4 linked regions of the Macaca fascicularis genome follow. The protein of the gene in region 4 interacts with the protein of the main gene of each other region in a biochemical or structural test. Links are inferred from orthologs where the notes say so. Each region holds a gene or a part of one and is shown on either strand. Other genes may lie near its edges.

Evidence for each region.
Region 1: the proteins of EIF4E (region 4) and EIF4G3 form a complex in vitro, tested with the Homo sapiens proteins (3 studies listed by BioGRID and IntAct, with this or other methods). The link is inferred for Macaca fascicularis from reciprocal best matches to the Homo sapiens genes EIF4E and EIF4G3.
Region 2: the proteins of EIF4E (region 4) and IPO8 form a complex in vitro, tested with the Homo sapiens proteins (2 studies listed by BioGRID and IntAct, with this or other methods). The link is inferred for Macaca fascicularis from reciprocal best matches to the Homo sapiens genes EIF4E and IPO8.
Region 3: the proteins of EIF4E (region 4) and PML form a complex in vitro, tested with the Homo sapiens proteins (4 studies listed by BioGRID and IntAct). The link is inferred for Macaca fascicularis from reciprocal best matches to the Homo sapiens genes EIF4E and PML.

What each region holds. Positions count from the first base shown.
Region 1 is NC_088375.1:214,258,500-214,262,194, forward strand, and holds part of EIF4G3 (eukaryotic translation initiation factor 4 gamma 3), read left to right. Parts: intron 1-1,263; coding exon 1,264-1,410; intron 1,411-3,417; coding exon 3,418-3,599; 3' UTR 3,600-3,695. UniProt on the Homo sapiens protein: Component of the protein complex eIF4F, which is involved in the recognition of the mRNA cap, ATP-dependent unwinding of 5'-terminal secondary structure and recruitment of mRNA to the ribosome. Functional homolog of EIF4G1.
Region 2 is NC_088385.1:33,483,253-33,487,496, reverse strand, and holds the start of IPO8 (importin-8), read left to right. Parts: upstream 1-1,429; 5' UTR 1,430-1,651; coding exon 1,652-1,735; intron 1,736-4,244. UniProt on the Homo sapiens protein: Involved in nuclear protein import, either by acting as autonomous nuclear transport receptor or as an adapter-like protein in association with the importin-beta subunit KPNB1.
Region 3 is NC_088381.1:50,917,673-50,921,947, forward strand, and holds the start of PML (protein PML), read left to right. Parts: upstream 1-1,463; 5' UTR 1,464-1,493; coding exon 1,494-1,622; intron 1,623-4,275.
Region 4 is NC_088379.1:104,497,184-104,501,407, reverse strand, and holds the start of EIF4E (eukaryotic translation initiation factor 4E), read left to right. Parts: upstream 1-1,298; 5' UTR 1,299-1,313; coding exon 1,314-1,441; intron 1,442-4,224. UniProt on the Homo sapiens protein: Acts in the cytoplasm to initiate and regulate protein synthesis and is required in the nucleus for export of a subset of mRNAs from the nucleus to the cytoplasm which promotes processes such as RNA capping, processing and splicing.

The sequences.
Region 1 (3,695 bases), on a different chromosome or scaffold from region 4:
GGCCCAGCACAAAGTCTGCTTTTGAAAACAAAATTGTGTCTTAGTGATAACTTACAGATAATATAAGCCCTTATGTGTCTTCACACTGAGGATGCTTTTCATTTCTCAGCCCCTTTTTATCATTCCTTTCCCTCAAAAGGCCTGGCTTAGGTATGCTATCTGCCACTGCCACAGTTAATTTTTATCCTAGTAATAACAAAATGGTTCCAATTATTTTACCCTTCTGAAAAGATTTGTATTAAGTGTCACTTTAATTTCCTTTTCTAATGTTGCTTTTTTTATGTTGCTTTTTTTAAGTACTCACTTGAAATTCCTACTCTATGTTTCACTTATTTTTGATTGACAAATTATGATTGTATATGTTTATGGGGTACAATGTGATGTTTTGATATATGTGTCCAATGTGGAATGAATGAATCAAATTAATTAACATATCTATCACCTCACTTACCTTTTTTTATGGTAAGACATTTGATTAATTTTGCTTTTGTAGTTTGTCATAAAACCACTGTCACCGTTTCATTATAATTAAAGATAATTGGGTATGCTACCCCGAGGGAAACCAGCATTCAAAATACATCCCCCTCCATGTTTTTTATTATTTGTGAGAGAATGTCTCATTAATAATTTCAGAGCATTTTGGATTTCAAAATATTTGCCTTAGACCTTCTTGCCTCCTCTTCTCTTGTAGAGCCATATGGGTCCTTTGTACTCAGAAAATTGAAAATGAGCCAAGTGCAGTGGCTCATGCCTGTAATCCTACCATTTTGGGAGGCCAAGGCAGAAGGATTGCTTGAGCCCAGGAGTTCAAGACCAACTTGGGCAATATAGTGAGACCTTGTCTCTATTATTTAAAAAACTAAAAATTAAGAAGAAGAAGAAAGAGGCCAGGAGTGGTGGCTCATGCCTGTAATCCAAGCAGTTTGGGAGGCTGAGGCAGGTGGATCGCCTGAGGTCAGGAGTTCGAGACAAGCCTGACCAACATTGTGAAGCCCCATCTCTGCTAAAAATACACAAAAAGATCAGTCAGGCGTGGTGGCAAGCACCTGTAGTCCCAGCAACTTGGGAGGCTGAGACAGGATAATCGCTTGAACCTGGGAGACAGAGGTTGCAGTGAGCTGAGATCATGCCACTGCACTCCAGCCTGGGCGATAGAGCGAGACTCTGTCTCACAAAAAAAAAAGAAAAAAGAAAGAAAGAAAATTAAAGATAATTCTATGTTAACTCCTTAAATGTAATTCCTAGTTCTTCTATCATCTTTAGCCGACTCTTCTACCTTCAGAGTGGACACTGCTGTTATCAAGCAGAGAGTGCCGATCTTACTCAAGTACCTAGACTCAGATACAGAGAAGGAACTGCAAGCACTTTATGCACTACAAGCATCGATAGTAAAACTCGATCAACCTGCCAGTAAGTTTATCTCATGTTACAGTTAATCCAACCAATGAGTGAGATTTATCCAAGCCAGGACTTAGAGATGATTTAGGGTTTGAACATTGGACAATAAAAGAATCACTAATAACAAAAACTCATATAACTAACTTTAATAAATCTGAATTTGGCCGGGTGCAGTAGCTCGCGCCTGTAATCCCAGCACTTTGGGAGGCCACGGCGGGCAGCTCACTTGAGGTCAAGAGTTCAAGACCAGCCTGGCCATCATGGTGAAAACCCGTCCCTACTAAAAATACAGAAATTGGCCAGGCACAGTGGCTCACGACTGTAATCCCAGCACTTTGGAAGGCCAAGGCGGATGGATCATGAGGTCAGGAGATCGAGACCATCCTAGCTAACACAGTGAAACCCCGTCTCCACTAAAAATACAAAACATTAGCCGGGTGTGGTGGCACGCGTCTGTAATGCCAGCTACTTGGTAGGCTGAAGCAGGAGAACCGCTTGAACACAGGAGGCGGAGGTTACAGTGATCCAAGATCACGCCACTGCACTCCAGCCTGGCGACAGAGTGAGACTGTCTCAAAAAAAAAAAAAAAAAAAAATACAAAAATGGGCTAGGTGGCGTGTGCCTGTAGTCCCAGCTACTCGGGAAGCTGAGGCAAGAGAATCACTTGAACCTGGGAGGCGGAGTTTGCAGTGAGCCAAGATTGTGCCACTGCACTCCAGCCTGGGCAACAGAGCAAGACTCCATCCAAAAAAAAAAGAATTTGTTATATGCTTGTATGAAAAGATCACAACAAGAAAACTATTTAGATTAGGTTATTTCATCCCCATTCCAGGGCAGGCCTAACAAAACTTTCTACAATGATGGAAGTATATTCATACCATTGAGTATGGTAACCATGAGCCACATGTGGCAGTTCTATACTTAAATGTGTCTGTTGTGACTTAGGAACTGAATTATTGACTTTAAATTTAAATAGCCATGTTTGGCTAGTAGCTTCCATATTGGACATCACAGGTCTAGGGCATGAAGATGGTTAATGATGTTGAGGATGATACTCTAGAATCTTTAGACACCCAACAAAGACCCTAAGTATAGTTTATTTACCATGGTATATTTACTAAGGAGTTTCAGAATCGTTTTTAGTTAAGTGTTATGATTAATTCTTGGCTAATGAAACAAAGTAACCTGTACACTTAAGTCTTAGTGATACTCAGTGTTAACTAGTGATTTTTATTACATCTTGAAAATTCAGTTGGAATTTGTTAAAGTGGGCAGTACATAGCTATGAGAGAGAGCACTCAAGTAGTTCTTTGGTACTTCCTTAGTTTTGCTTTTGTAAAATTCCTTCTTCCCTAGTCCTGCTGAATCACTCTGGGAGATAAAGGAAAAGATCAAAGCAAATTATCCTTATAGTATAATTGAAGAGTCAATCTACCGTGAATCAGATAATTTGATAATATTAGCTTGACTAATATAATTACAAAGATAAATCTTTTAAAAAAGGCTGAGGCATGTGGATCACCTGAGATCAGGAGTTTGAGACCAGCCTGGCCAATATGGTGAAACCCCGTCTCTACTTAAAATACAAAAATTAGCTGACCGTGGTGGCGGGTGCCTGTAATCCCAGGTACTTGGGAGGCTGAGGCAGGAAAGTTGCTTAAACCCACAAGGTGGAGGTTGCAGTGAGCCAAGATCACACCACTGCACTCCAACCTGGGGACAGAACAAGATTGTCTCTCAAAAAAAAAAAAAAAAAAAGGAAAAAGAAAGGAAGTTCAAATTGAACAAAATAATAGGAATAAAAAATAATTTAGACTGCTTCAATATTTTTTTCCTCTCCTTTGAACAAGTTGTTGGGCTGTTTATACTGTCAAGAGCAAGTATGGTGAATTGTCATTATTGCTTTTTTCTGGGGGAATTAATGCACATTTATTCAGTCATTCATTATTTTGAAATACATTCTTTTCCTCATAACTACAGTGTCCCAAAGCTTATAGTTTATTTTCACCTCCTTGCAGATTTGCTGCGAATGTTTTTTGATTGCCTGTATGATGAGGAGGTGATCTCCGAGGATGCCTTCTACAAATGGGAGAGCAGCAAGGACCCTGCAGAGCAGAATGGGAAGGGCGTGGCCCTGAAATCTGTCACGGCATTCTTCACGTGGCTGCGGGAAGCAGAAGAGGAGTCTGAGGATAACTAAAACTTCAAATACACAAAAGGAAACAAACAATTTAAGTATTTTTTTAAAAAGTTTCACGTCTTCGCCAATCACAGTGCAGCAAGGCCAATTCTCGCA
Region 2 (4,244 bases), on a different chromosome or scaffold from region 4:
TGAGAAGGTCTGAACATTTTTCATAAAACTCTCAGGCATGTAATTTTCAGTTTCTGTGACCTTTATCTTTCTGAAATGGGAGAGGTTCCCTTGTCCCCCTCACAGGGCGTGCATGGGGGGTGTGGCTCGCTTCTTCAGTGCCCCGCTGTTCAGACCTCTAGAGGCACATACAGACGGGAAGGCTGTGGAGCTCCGACCCCTTGGCAGTGTCTACGGGTGAATGTTTACAGCTCCTGAAGCCCCAGTGGGTGTGTGTTACAGGCTGCTCCTTTAGTTTGTCTAGAGGGAGCTTGTGTTAACCAGCTCTATTAGACCTTCTACCTTGTCGCAAGGACAGCAAGCTTTATGTATCCTGGGTTCTTGCCTTGGTATACCAGAAGAATTGGATCACACGTGGGCTTGGAGAATGAGTGCAAAGTTTTATTGAGTGGAAGTAGCTCTCAGCAGATGAGGGGCCCAGAAAGGAAATGGTTTTCCTCGGGCTCTTTTCCGACAGCCCGGGCCAAACTCCGCATCGTTCTGCCCGTGGATGGTCTGCGAATGTGCCAGCGAGCTCCTCTTCTTCCACCCTTATGCTCCTCTGGACGTCTGGCTGCCTGTGTGCCTGCCTGCTAGGGTCTGGGGTTTTCATAGGCACAGGATGGGGGAGTGGCAGGCCAGGGTGGTCTTGGGAAATGCAACATTTGGGCCCGAAGGCTGGAGTGCCAGTCCTCACCTAGGTCGGTGGGGGTGGAAACCTAGCCAGGGACCACACTCTCCTCTACCCAGCACTTCACTTCCCCCATCCCTATTATTTAAAGGGACCACGCTCTTCTATTCCCAGCACTCCCCTATCATTTCTACACTGTAAATTTTTTTTGTTTATATTTGTCTCATCTCTCAGGTTGTGAGTTCCTTCACATTAACTTGCATGGAATTCATCTTGTTATAATGTGGTACCTAAAAATCCTAGTACTCTGGTTCAAAAATAAATGTTTAACAAATGTTCAGTGAAAGCAAATGAATGAATGATGACTCCCACACACGGAGGAACCCTGCTCACCTGTAAGGTACATGATTTGAAGGTTCCAACAAGTCTGTCTTGAAACAGGCCCAGTTGCGATGCCCATACAGTTCTCGGACTAACAGAAAGTGTCACACCATCCAGATATGCTTAATTTGGAAGCAGCTGTAAGGAGACTCCCGGCCAGCTCAAGTTTCCTCATCTGGGAAGAGGCGGGAGGCTGCTAATAGTACGGAAGCATGGCGGCCGCCTGCCTGAGTTCGGGAGCGCAGGTTCTTCCTCGGGAAAGAAGCCGAGGCCGCTTTCCGTACAGCAGCATGGCGGCCGCCAAGGGAAGCCGGTCATACCATCACGCCAGGGGGAAGAGGCCGCCGTAAAGGAAGCTCTGCTTCCTCTTCTTCCTTCTCCCGCCTCCCACCGGCTGTCGTAAAAGGGTGAATGGAGAGCGAGTTGTGGGGGGGAAAAAGGGAGGACAGGGGGCGCGGAGTCAGAGTGGCGCAGCAAGTGGCCGCAGGTGGCGACGGTGGCGGGGATTGGGGTGTGAGGTAATCCAGGGGTCGCGGAAGAGGAGGCTGAGAGGGTCAAAAGAAAACTAAAGCTGCAGTCCGGCCTACTGGTCCGGGGGCCGCGGAGCCCCCACCCGGGGAGATGGACCTCAACCGGATCATCCAGGCGCTGAAGGGCACCATCGACCCGAAGTTGCGGATTGCAGCCGAGAACGAACTCAACCAGGTGAGGAGAGGGCCTTCGGCGCCCCTCTTCCGCCTGAGCGGCGCCCCTGCCGGCTGGCCGGGCTCCCCCTCCCCGGCGCCCCTCGTCCTCACCCCCACCAGGCTGGGGCTGACGCCTCACGGCGGGTCCCGCCCTCCGCCCCCACTGACCCCCCCGGTCCAGTGGAGCAGGGCTCCCAGGATCTTTGCGGAGCAGCTCGCGCACCTGTTGGCCACCTTTGCACCTTTTCGTGTCGTCTTCCTTCTCCAGTGCAGTTTGTTCAGCCCACTTGGTCCGCAAGAAGCAGTTTTTGCAACCTGTGCTAGTGTTTTCAGGATGTGATTTCTTTTCCTTAAGTGCGCTGACTTGGGGAGCAGGTGGGAATTTTACTTACAATTCAAATCTGAGTTCATCTTTTCTCCAAACCCAGCCCTTTTTAGGTGTTGCTGTGGAGCACTCTGCCCACCGCCTCCTCCTGTCGGGTTGGCAGGACTGTTTTGACACTGATTGGCCGAGTTTTGCGGAGCGCTGGGCAGTGCTGTTGGGAGAGTGCTCTGGGGAGAATAGGCAGTTTTCATGGTGGTACTGCTTTATCTAAGACACATTAAACCAAGATGTGTATGGAGAAATTTCTTATAAATGCTAAAATGTGTAAGACTTTTCTTTTTTCCTCCGTCTCTTGTTCTTCCTGATTAGCCTTGACGTTTTTCCAGCGTTACCCCCACACTTCAAAATTTTAATGACCCCAAACTCTAGCTTATCTCTTCTTCCCTACCGGTACTTGAGAATCATAGACCCCTTACTAAAAAGTAGGAATTAAGAACTACCCCTGGGATGGAGCAATAGCTGTTTTAGGTTGTGATAACCTGTAAAATGTAAATATTCCAAAATCAGCGTTCTCAAAGAGTTGCCCAGGACCTGGAGCTTCAGCATCACCTGAGAACTTACAAATTATGCAAATTATGGGGCTTCAGTCCAGACTTAAAGAATCAGAAACTGTGGGGGTGGGGCCAGTTGTATTTTAACTAGCTCCCCCAGGTGATTCTGTGCCTCCGGAAGTGTGACTACAGTGTGATTGTCCTAAGTAAATGTTTCTGTTGGAATTGACTTTAAAAGGCAGCTGCATGTTGGGAATCTTTGAAAGGGATTATTTTAATAGGTAATCTAGGTGGAGTTTGGAGTAGGTGTGAATGCAGGATTCCCCATAGATAAAAAGGAGAGTGAAAACACTGCCAATGGAGAGGAGGCTGGGTTGAACTAATGCCCTAAGATGATGTATTGGTGCCTCAAAAAGAAATGGACTGTCACTTAGAATAGCGGGAAGTTAAAGTCAGTACCTGTCACAGACTTTGCAGAGTAAAAGTACTGTATGTTGGCTGGCTGGAAGAATAGTAATCCAGGGGTTAGTTAGGAAGAACAAAACGAGCTGAATTTGCAGTCTACTAGTATGAACAGGGGAGTTGGCCTGTTTATGACCCCCTTCTCACAATGAGGCCAGGTGTTCCTTTGATATCAGGTTACACTTCCCTGTCCTTCACCTAACCTTCATTTCTTTCTGATTCATCAGTATATAAGTACAGTTGATGTTATAGAAGTGGAAAAAGTACCTTAGAAAGCCGGCAGAACTAGGAAACATTTAAGACCCAGTCCTATTTTTTTCCCATGGTATTTCAGACAAAAGCAGGCACATTCAGGGTGGTATGGCCATAGACTCTTGATGGTAGTTCAGTCCAAATCCATTCCATCATCACTCTGCCCTGCCCCATAGTGTCCCACCTCATCACAGACCGTGATTTCCCCAGCAATTTCTAAAGGTAGCTTATTGCTATAACACTCTTTCAGCATTTATATTTTACATAAAGCATAGTGAAATGCTTTAAGGTTTTTTGAATTGGCTGTAAGTAGAACAAAATACAATGTCACCTAACCATGTAGTAAAACATGCTTATAATCATGGGTTTTGCATGCTTGTCCTTTGCCACCACTGTAACATCCGACTTTGTTGGATAAATGGGTGGGTAAATCACCATAAGTGGTTACGGTCCACCTCTTTGACTTTAGTCTAGATCTCCCCTTAGCAGTATGCTCTGCATAGGGAATGGGAGCAGCTTCCGCCGTATACTGATGGATCTGTCAATTGCCATTTAGAAAAGTAAGCAGCTTCTGCACAATAGCCTGTGTTCCAATGAATAAATTCTCATTTGGAGCTATATATTTTTTTCAGGCCAGCATTTTTCTGTTACTAGTGACTAGTTTTCTGACTGCTATTTGTGATATTGTTTCTATGGGAAAATGTAGTTTTAGTTTTATCTCAGGATATTAAGAGTGAACCCTTTACGTCTTTCTCATTTTCTATAGACCAGAAGTCCCATTAGTGGCAGCAGAGAGGAATAGGAATGGGTAGGTACCTTGCTGAAGTAATTCATCCAGAAAGGTGTCGTCTTTTAATAAATTATCCTTCCCATGGCCTCGGTAGGGAAATGAGTTTTTACTTTCATCGCCAAGCTTTGGAATATCTGCTTTCCATGCA
Region 3 (4,275 bases), on a different chromosome or scaffold from region 4:
ATCTTTCAAAGCAAGCAAATAAATGAATAAAGCTTCCCCAGCTCTGCCTCCTCAGCCAATCGCCTCTGGCCTCCAAAGCCCCATCCTGCCATAGCCCACTTCCAGGTCCCTTGTGCAGATGGCTGCCCACCATATTTGGCTTTCATGGACTGATTCTCTAAAGGCCTGGGAGTACTGACCAGGCTGGAGGGAAGGGCAGGCTCCTGAGGCCTCTTACAGTCCCTAGGAAGTTGGGTATCCACCCAACCCTTGACCTCCAGCCCGCATACTATAAGGTTTACAAGAGCCAGGCCCTATCATCATCCTTTCTAGTCTGTTTCTAAGTTGGAACAGAGTACAGAATGGGTACACAGGAGCCAGCACAGTGGTTGCGATGGTTTAAGTTTGAAGCCAGGGGCACTGGCCCAGTGAGGTCACCTGGAGCTGTGCCCTTTCCCCCTCACCAGCTGGGAGTCTGGCATGCTTTTCCACTGGTGAAGACCTACCTGGCTCTCCCCTCTCCCTCTTCATACCCGCTCTCCAGCTCTCCCCCTCCCTCCTGCCCCCACCACCTCACATCCACCAGCCTTTCCAGCTGTCACTCAAGGCGTCACCCTGCTCCCTCACCTCCAGTCACTGGCTTCCCAGGATCTCTGACTCAAGACCCTCCTCTGCATCCCACAGCCACTGTCCTAGACAAGGGTATGTGCCCCTAGGTTGTTAGAGTGACCGTCCCATCATGCACAGCTGATCATGTTGTTTCCTGGTTCCAGATCCTTCACCAACTTCCCATCACTCCCAGAACTGGTCCAATCTCCTTAGTTAGGATCTTGTCCCAGCACACTTCTTGGGCATCATTTCTCATGAATTCCCTCTTAAATCTGAAAACGGCCAAAACTAGTTCCCAAACAGGCTTTCGTGTTTCAAACTTCCATGCCTTTTGCAAGAGCTATCTTTCGTGTTTCCAGTGTCCCCTGGACCCCACCACCTACAGCCCTGAATCCCTGGTGAATTCCCACTGCTTTTTCAGGTCCCAGCTGAGGGCTCTCCTTTCCAGAATGTCTCCGTTTGCAAGCTTGCTCTTCCATTACATCTGGGGCTCTTAAAAAGCAGGGGCTGCGTGTGGCTCATCTTTGTGCGCCCAGCTCCCGGCAGGAGGTGGCACGAAGCAGTGCCAGTGTGAACTGATGAATGGATCAAACCCGGGGGCGGGGCTGCCCCTCTGCAGCTCTGCCCTGCCTCTCCCGCTTTACCGTAAGCCAGCAGTAGGTCTGCGGCTCCCCGCCTCTCCTTCCTCCCCGCTCTGGGCGTGTCTTTAAAACCCACAGTCGGCCTCTCTGCCCCTAGAACCGCCCCCAGTTTGTGTCTCACTTCCTCTCCAGAGGCGGGCCCTGAGCTGGCACCTCCCCTTTCGGACAGCTCAAGGGGCTCAGCCAACTGGCTCACGCCTCCCCTTTAGTTTCTTTTCACGCCCTCCAAGATCTAAACCGAGAATCGAAACTAAGCTGAGGTCCATGGAGCCTGCACCCGCCCGATCTCCGAGGCCCCAGCAGGACCCCGCCCGGCCCCACGCGCCCACCATGCCTCCCCCCGAGACCCCCTCGGAAGGCCGTCAGCCCAGCCCCAGCCACAGCCCTACAGAGGTACTATTGGGTTAGGGGATGATGGGGTTAGGCTTTGTTGGTTTGCTGTGGTGGGGAGAGTGGGGAAGAGAGGGTCTAACGGAGGATTTGGTCAAGTACGCTAGAGAGTGACACAAAGCGGGAAGACCACACACCAGGGTCCTGACCTTCTTGGCTGGGGCATGGGAGGGTAGGATAGAGTAGAAAAGAGGACCCGGAGGAGTTGGGGCGGCCTCGCTGGGCTGCGGTTTCTCCACGGAGCAGTTGGGCAAGGTGAGAAGGGTCAGTGGCCTCCGGGCCTGGGCCCTTCCGCCCACCCTCGAGCCCTGGTCAACCCTGCCTCAGATGCAGGACCACAGATTAGGGAGGATGGAAGTGGTAGCCCTGTTGCGCTGGCCTGGAGCCAGGAGCATGTCCCAGGCACAGCAAAACTAAAACCAACTTCCCAGATCCGAGGTGAGAAACTGTGGCTCAGACTGAAGAGGTATCTTTGCCAAGGCCTCCCAGCTCATGTGGTTTCTGCTTAAGGAAGCCTCCCTAACAAACCCTTCTCTTGCCACACCTGTCCTGCCTACCTCCCACCTCCACCCCCAAAGGAACTACTTGGGTTTCTTGTTCTGCTGTCTTCCAGGCCCTTTTGCTCCCCTTCATGAAAGTACAGAGGACACTGTATTACAGTAACTTTTATAAGCATTATTACAACTAAGAATAACATTACTTAACAACACTAGCTAACATTTATGAGCACTTCAAATGTGCCAGGTACTGTATTAAGCACTTTGGTTTTTTGTTGTTTGTTTTGTTTTGTTTTTTGTTTGTTTGTTTATCTGTTTGTTTTTGAGATGGAGTCTTGCACTGTCGCCCAGGCTGGAGTGCAATGGTGCGATCTCTGCTCGCTGCAACCTCCTCCTCCCGGGTTGACGTGATTCTCCTGCCTCAGCCTTCTGAGTAGCTGGGATTACAGGCCACACCACTATACCTGGCTGATTTTTATATTTTTAGTAGAGATGGGGTTTCACTATGTTGGCCAGATTGGTCTCTAACTTCTGACCTCGTGATCTGCCCAACTCGGCCTCCCAAAGTGCTGGGATTACAGGCGTCAGCCACCATGCCCGGACTGCTTTTGTATTTTAAAAATTGTGGTAAAATATACGTAACGGATAAGCTCCTATGTTAACCATTTCTAAGTGTAACGTTCAGTGGCATTAAGTAGATTCACAATATTGTGTAACCATCACCACCATCTATTTTCAGAACTTTTTAATTGCTCCAGAAACTCTGTACCCTTTAAACCATAGGGGAGGGAAAGATGGCTTCCCTCCACCCTTCTAGTTTCCTTGGCTGGGCTATGAATTAAATAGTCATAAAATAGATTAACAGGGGGAAAACCCATATTTAATTACATATGTATACTCAGGAGTCCCACAAAGTATGAGACTCAAAGAAAGGTCAGATGATTGAAGCCTATATAACATCCTGATCCACAGAAAAGAGCTTGGAGCTTCTGGGTGGTGGTGATGACACAAGTTATGGGAGGGTGAGGAGAGGAGCTGTTGTCTTGCTATGTAGATAAAAAGTTCTTAGATAATAAGAGTTGTCTGGAGCAGCCCTCTTTTAATATAGACCATTTTACTAATGTAGATTTTCTTTGGGATGCAAATGCCTTTCTGTTTTACAAAAGGAGAGCTTTTCAGAGCTATTCCTGTATCAGCAGTTTCTCAGAATAACCAGCTTAAAATATGCCAACAAAGTATATTTCAAGGGTGGCATATTCTGGCCTCCTGCAGTCATATTTTGAAGTGGTGTGTCCTGAGTCTCAGTAAAGCAATAGCTCCTCATTTTCTCCTTCCCCTAGCCCTTGGTAACTTCTAATCTACCTTCTGTCCCTACGAGCTTACTTATTCTAGATATTTCATATAAGTGGAATTGTTACCAGTAGACGGTCTTGACCGCAAGTTGTTCAGGTTCTTGGCGTTTTGAACAAAGAATTGGACAAAATGCACAGCAAAGCAAGGAAAGAATGAAGCAATGAAAGCAGAGATTTATGGAAAATGAAAGTACACTCCACAGGGTGGGATGGGTTGGAGCAGGGCTCAAGGGCCCAAGTTACAGAATCTTCTGGGTTCCAAATATGCCCTAGAGGTTTCCCATTGGCCACTTGGTGTTCACCCCATTGGTTGTAGAAAGCAACCAATCAGAGGTGCTTTCAATTTTCCATCTGCCAGGCAGGAAATGGGGTGTTTTGCAAAGAGAGTAGCCTCTGGTCCTTTTGTTACTTGGGCGTGGAGAGTTCGGGTTTTCCTTTGGATTTAGTTCTAGGAAGTCAGAGGGAATCGGCCTTAGGTTCCCTGCCTCCAGACCCTATTCTCCTGCCTCAGAATCATACAGTATTTGACCTTTTGTGTGTGGCTTATTTCACTTAGCATAATGTCATTGAGGTCCATCTATGTTGTAGCATGATCAGAATTTCATTTCTTTCTAATGCTGAATAATATTCCATTATATGTGTAGACCACATTTTGTTTATCTATTCATCTGTTGATGGATACTTGGATTGTTTCTACATTTTGACTATTGTGAATAATGTTGCTCTGGACATTGTTGTACAAGTATCTGTTTGGGTCCTTGTTTTTAGATCTTTTGGTTATATATGTAAGAGTGAAATTGCTGGGTC
Region 4 (4,224 bases):
TAATTTTTATGTTTTTAGTAGAGACGAGTTTTCACTGTGTTGGCCAGGCTGGTCTCAAACTCCTGACCTCAGGGAATCTGCCCGCCTTGGCCTCCCAAAGTGCTGGGATTACAGGCCTGAGCAGAAGCAAAGTTTTAAAAAGGAAGAGCAAAGGCGAATGGGGAACTTACCATATCATGAAGAAAAACATTGTTAAAAGTAATGGCTGGGCGCAGTGACTCTATAATAGTAGCACTTTGGGAGGCTGAGGCAGGTGGATCACCTGAGGTCAGGAGTTCGAGATCAGCCTGACCAACATGGCGAAAACCCATCTCTACTAAAAATACAAAAAAATTAGCTGGACGTGGTGGTGGGTGCCTGTAATCCCAGCTACTTGGGAGGCTGAGGCAGGAGAATTGCTTGAACCCGGAAAGTGGAGGTTGCAGTGAGCCAAGATTGCGCCATTGCACTTCAGCCTGGGTGACAGAGCAAGATGCTGTCTAAAAAAAGAAAAAAGAAATTTACAAAAATATGATATTCACGTAGGAAGGGATGGGCAGATTATTGGAATACACTGAGCCATCCAGGAGTAGTTTCAGATGTTTATTTGGGCTTTAATATAACTTTGTTATAATACATTTGGAATATTTAGATCAGTGTGAAAAAAATAATCTGTAATCTCAACAACTAAGTGTTCTCTGAAAGTGAACTTTTTTTTTTTTTTTTTAAACCATATCCCTCTTCGTACCTTTTCGTTTTTCCCTTTAAATACTTAATTTTCAGCTGGGTGCAGTAGCTCATGCCTGAAACCTCAATACTTTGGGAGGCTGAGGTGGGTGAATTGCGTAAGCCCGGGAATTCAAGACTAACTTAGGCAACATGGTGAAACCCTGTCTCTACTAAAAATATTAATACAAAAAACTAGCCAGGTGTGGTGGCATGCACCTGTAGTCCCAGCTACTCAGGAGGCTTGGGCGGGAGGATTGATTGAGCCCTGGAGGTCGAGACTGCAGTGAGCTGTGATTGTGCCACAGCACTGCAGCCTGGGTATCAGAGCGAGACCCTGTCTCAAAAACTAACTACTTAATTTTCTTAGAGCAGTTTTAGGTTCAGAGCAAAATTGAGCAGAAATTACAGTTCCTGTAACTTACTCCTTGCCCCTGTGCAGGAACAGCTTTCCCACTGTCAACATCCTGCAACAGAATGGCACATTTGTTAGAATTGATGAACCTAAATTGACATTATTGTCACCCAAAGTTCATACTTTACATTAGGGTTCACTCTTCATGTTGTACATTCTGTGGGTTTTGTCAAATGTATAATGACATATATCTATGATTATAATATCGTACAGAATAATTTACTGCCCTAAAAATCCTCTCTGTTCTGCTTGTTTATACCCTTCCCACCAACCACTGATCTTTTTGTCTTTTCCAGAATATCACAGAGTTACAATCATACAGTACGTAGCCTTTTCAGCTTAGCTTCTTTCACTTAGTAATATGCATTTAAGTTCCTTCTATGTCTTTTTATGGCTTGATAACTCATTTTATTTTAGCACTCAGTAATGTTTCATTTTCTGGATGTACTACAGTTTATTTAGGACTTCTTAATATAGGTCAAAAGCACAAAAATAGTGCTTCTTTTTTCTTTTCTTTTCTTTTTTTTTTTTTTTTGAGACAGAGTCTTGCTCTGTTGCCAGGCTGGAGTGTAGTGGCGTGGTCTCGGCTCACTGCAGCCTCCTCCTCCTGGGTTCCAGCGATTGTCCCGCCTCAGCCTCCAGATACCTGGGATTACAGGCACATGCCACCACGCCTGGCTAATTTTTGTATTTTTAGTAGAGATGGGTTTCACCATGTTGGCCAGGCTGGTCTTAAACTCCTGACCTCATGATCCGCCCACCTGGGCCTCTCAAAGTGCTGGGATTACAGGCATGAACCACCACGCCTGGCCTTTTTTTTTTTTTTTTTTTTTTTTTTTTTTTTTTTTTAAGTGCTCATTTTTATATGGTTCTGTAATCTGCTTTTCTCCACATTTGTATTACTTTTAAAGTAATTCTTACAAACATGTTTAGTGCTTACATTATAAATGCCATGGTTTATCTATTACCTTTTGGGTATATCTGTTGATAGATGTATTGTCTCTTAGAAGTCTAATTACTAGGTTAAATAATATAGATCTTTTTATTTTAATTTTACTGTTTTTCTATTTTCCCATTTAGCTTTGACTTGGAACTCAGTAGATCCTTTTAGGTTTGGAAGCTTGATAGTTTATTAACTTAAACTAAGTAAATAGAAGGTTGTATTCCACTCTGTAATCCTGGGGACATAAGAAACTGACTATACCTGGTTTTGTAAATTTTTTTAAGGCATATATTTCTTCAAAATATTTTCTTTTGAAAGGTGATTTTAAAACCTTAGTACATAAAAAGGCAGACGTGGTGGCTCACGCCTGTAATCCTAGCAATTTCGAAGGCTGAGGCAGGAGGATCACTTGAGGCCAAGAGTTTGAGACCAGGCTGAGCAATATAGTGAGACCTGTCTCTAAAAATTTTCTGGGCATGCCTGTAGTCCCAGCTATTCAGGAGCATCTCTTGAGCCTAGGAGTTTGAGACTGCAGTGAGCTATGATTGCATCCCTGCACTCCAGCCTAAGTTAACAGTGATACCCTCCTCTGAAGGCAAAAAAAAAAGAAAAAGAAAAAGAAAAAAAATCTGTTGGATAAGAAGTTGTTACAGAAAACAAAATGACCTTATTAAAGCTACAGTTTAAATTGAAATTATAACCTTTAACTTTTAAAAATGAACACATGTAATTTATTTATTTTTTTTTTTTGATACGGAGTTTTGCTCTGTTGCCCAGGCTGGAATGCAGTGACACTACCTTGGCTCACTGCAACCTCTGCCTCCCAGGTTCAAGCAATTCTCCTGAGTCAGCCTCCCGAGTAGCTGGGATTATGGGCACGTGCCACTATACCTGGCTAATTTTTGTATTTTTAGTAGAGACAGGGTTTCACCATGTTGGACCAGGCTGGTCTCGACCACCTGACCTCAGGCGATCCACCCATCTCAGCTTCCCAAAGTGCTGGGATTACAGGTGTGAGCCACTGCGCCCGGCCAAACACATAGAATTTTAACAGTAACTGCTCATTTGTTTGAACTGTGACATGTAAAGATAGATTTAAAAAAAAAAAAAACTAGAATTTAATTAGTATCATGAAATTTTAGTTATGTTTTCTAAGTTTTAAAATGTATAAACATTTAAATAGCAGTTAAATTCTTTAAAAGATTTGCGTTTCAAATACTTCCTATAAAGCTTTAAGGAATAATTGAAATGGAAAATACCGTGTTACTGCAGTCAACAGTTTTGTGCACTGGTCCTAATGCCATTTTAATGTTGATATATTTTGAATCATTTTTTACTTTTGTATAATGTTCAACGTATGTAAATTTTTCTTTGTTTTCTTTCTTTTTTTTTTGTTTTTGAGATGGAGTCTCGCTCTTTCACCATTCTGGAGTGCAATGGTGCGATCTCGGCTCACTGAAACCTCTGACTCCCTGGTTCAAGCGATTCTCCTGCCTCAGCCTCCTGAGTAGCTGGGATTACAGGCATGCACCACCAGGCCCAGCTAATTTTTGTATTTTTTAGTAGAGGCTGGGTTTCACCATGTTGTCCAGGATGGTCTCGATCTCCTGATCTCATGATCTGCCTGCGTCAGCCTCCCAAAGTGTTGGGATTACAGGCATGAGCCACCGTGCCTGGCCGTACGTAAATTTTTCTTTTTCTTTTTTCTTTCTTTTTTTTTTTGAGACGGAGTTTTGCTCTTGTTGCCCAGGCTGGAGTGCAGTGGCGCGATCTCAGCTCACTGCAACTTCCCTCTCCCGGGTTCAAGTGCTTCTCCTGCTTCAGCCTCCTGAGTAACTGGTGTTACAGGCATGCGCCACCACGCCTGGCTAATTTTGTATTTTGGGTAGAGATGTGATTTCACCAAGTTGGTCAGGTGGGTCTTGAACTCCTGACCTCGTGATCCACCTGCCTCTGCCTCCCAAAGTGCTGGAATTATATGCATGAGCCACCGCACCCAGCCTGTAAATTTTTCTAGTTATTTTAAATTATGAATCTTCTGGTAGCCTTTGGTTTAAATAGTACTGACATTTAAATTTTATCATTAGCCTTATCATCCTAGTTCACACATCTGTTATTTCTTGTGTCTGTGTTATCACCTCCCCAAACCCAAACTGAATTT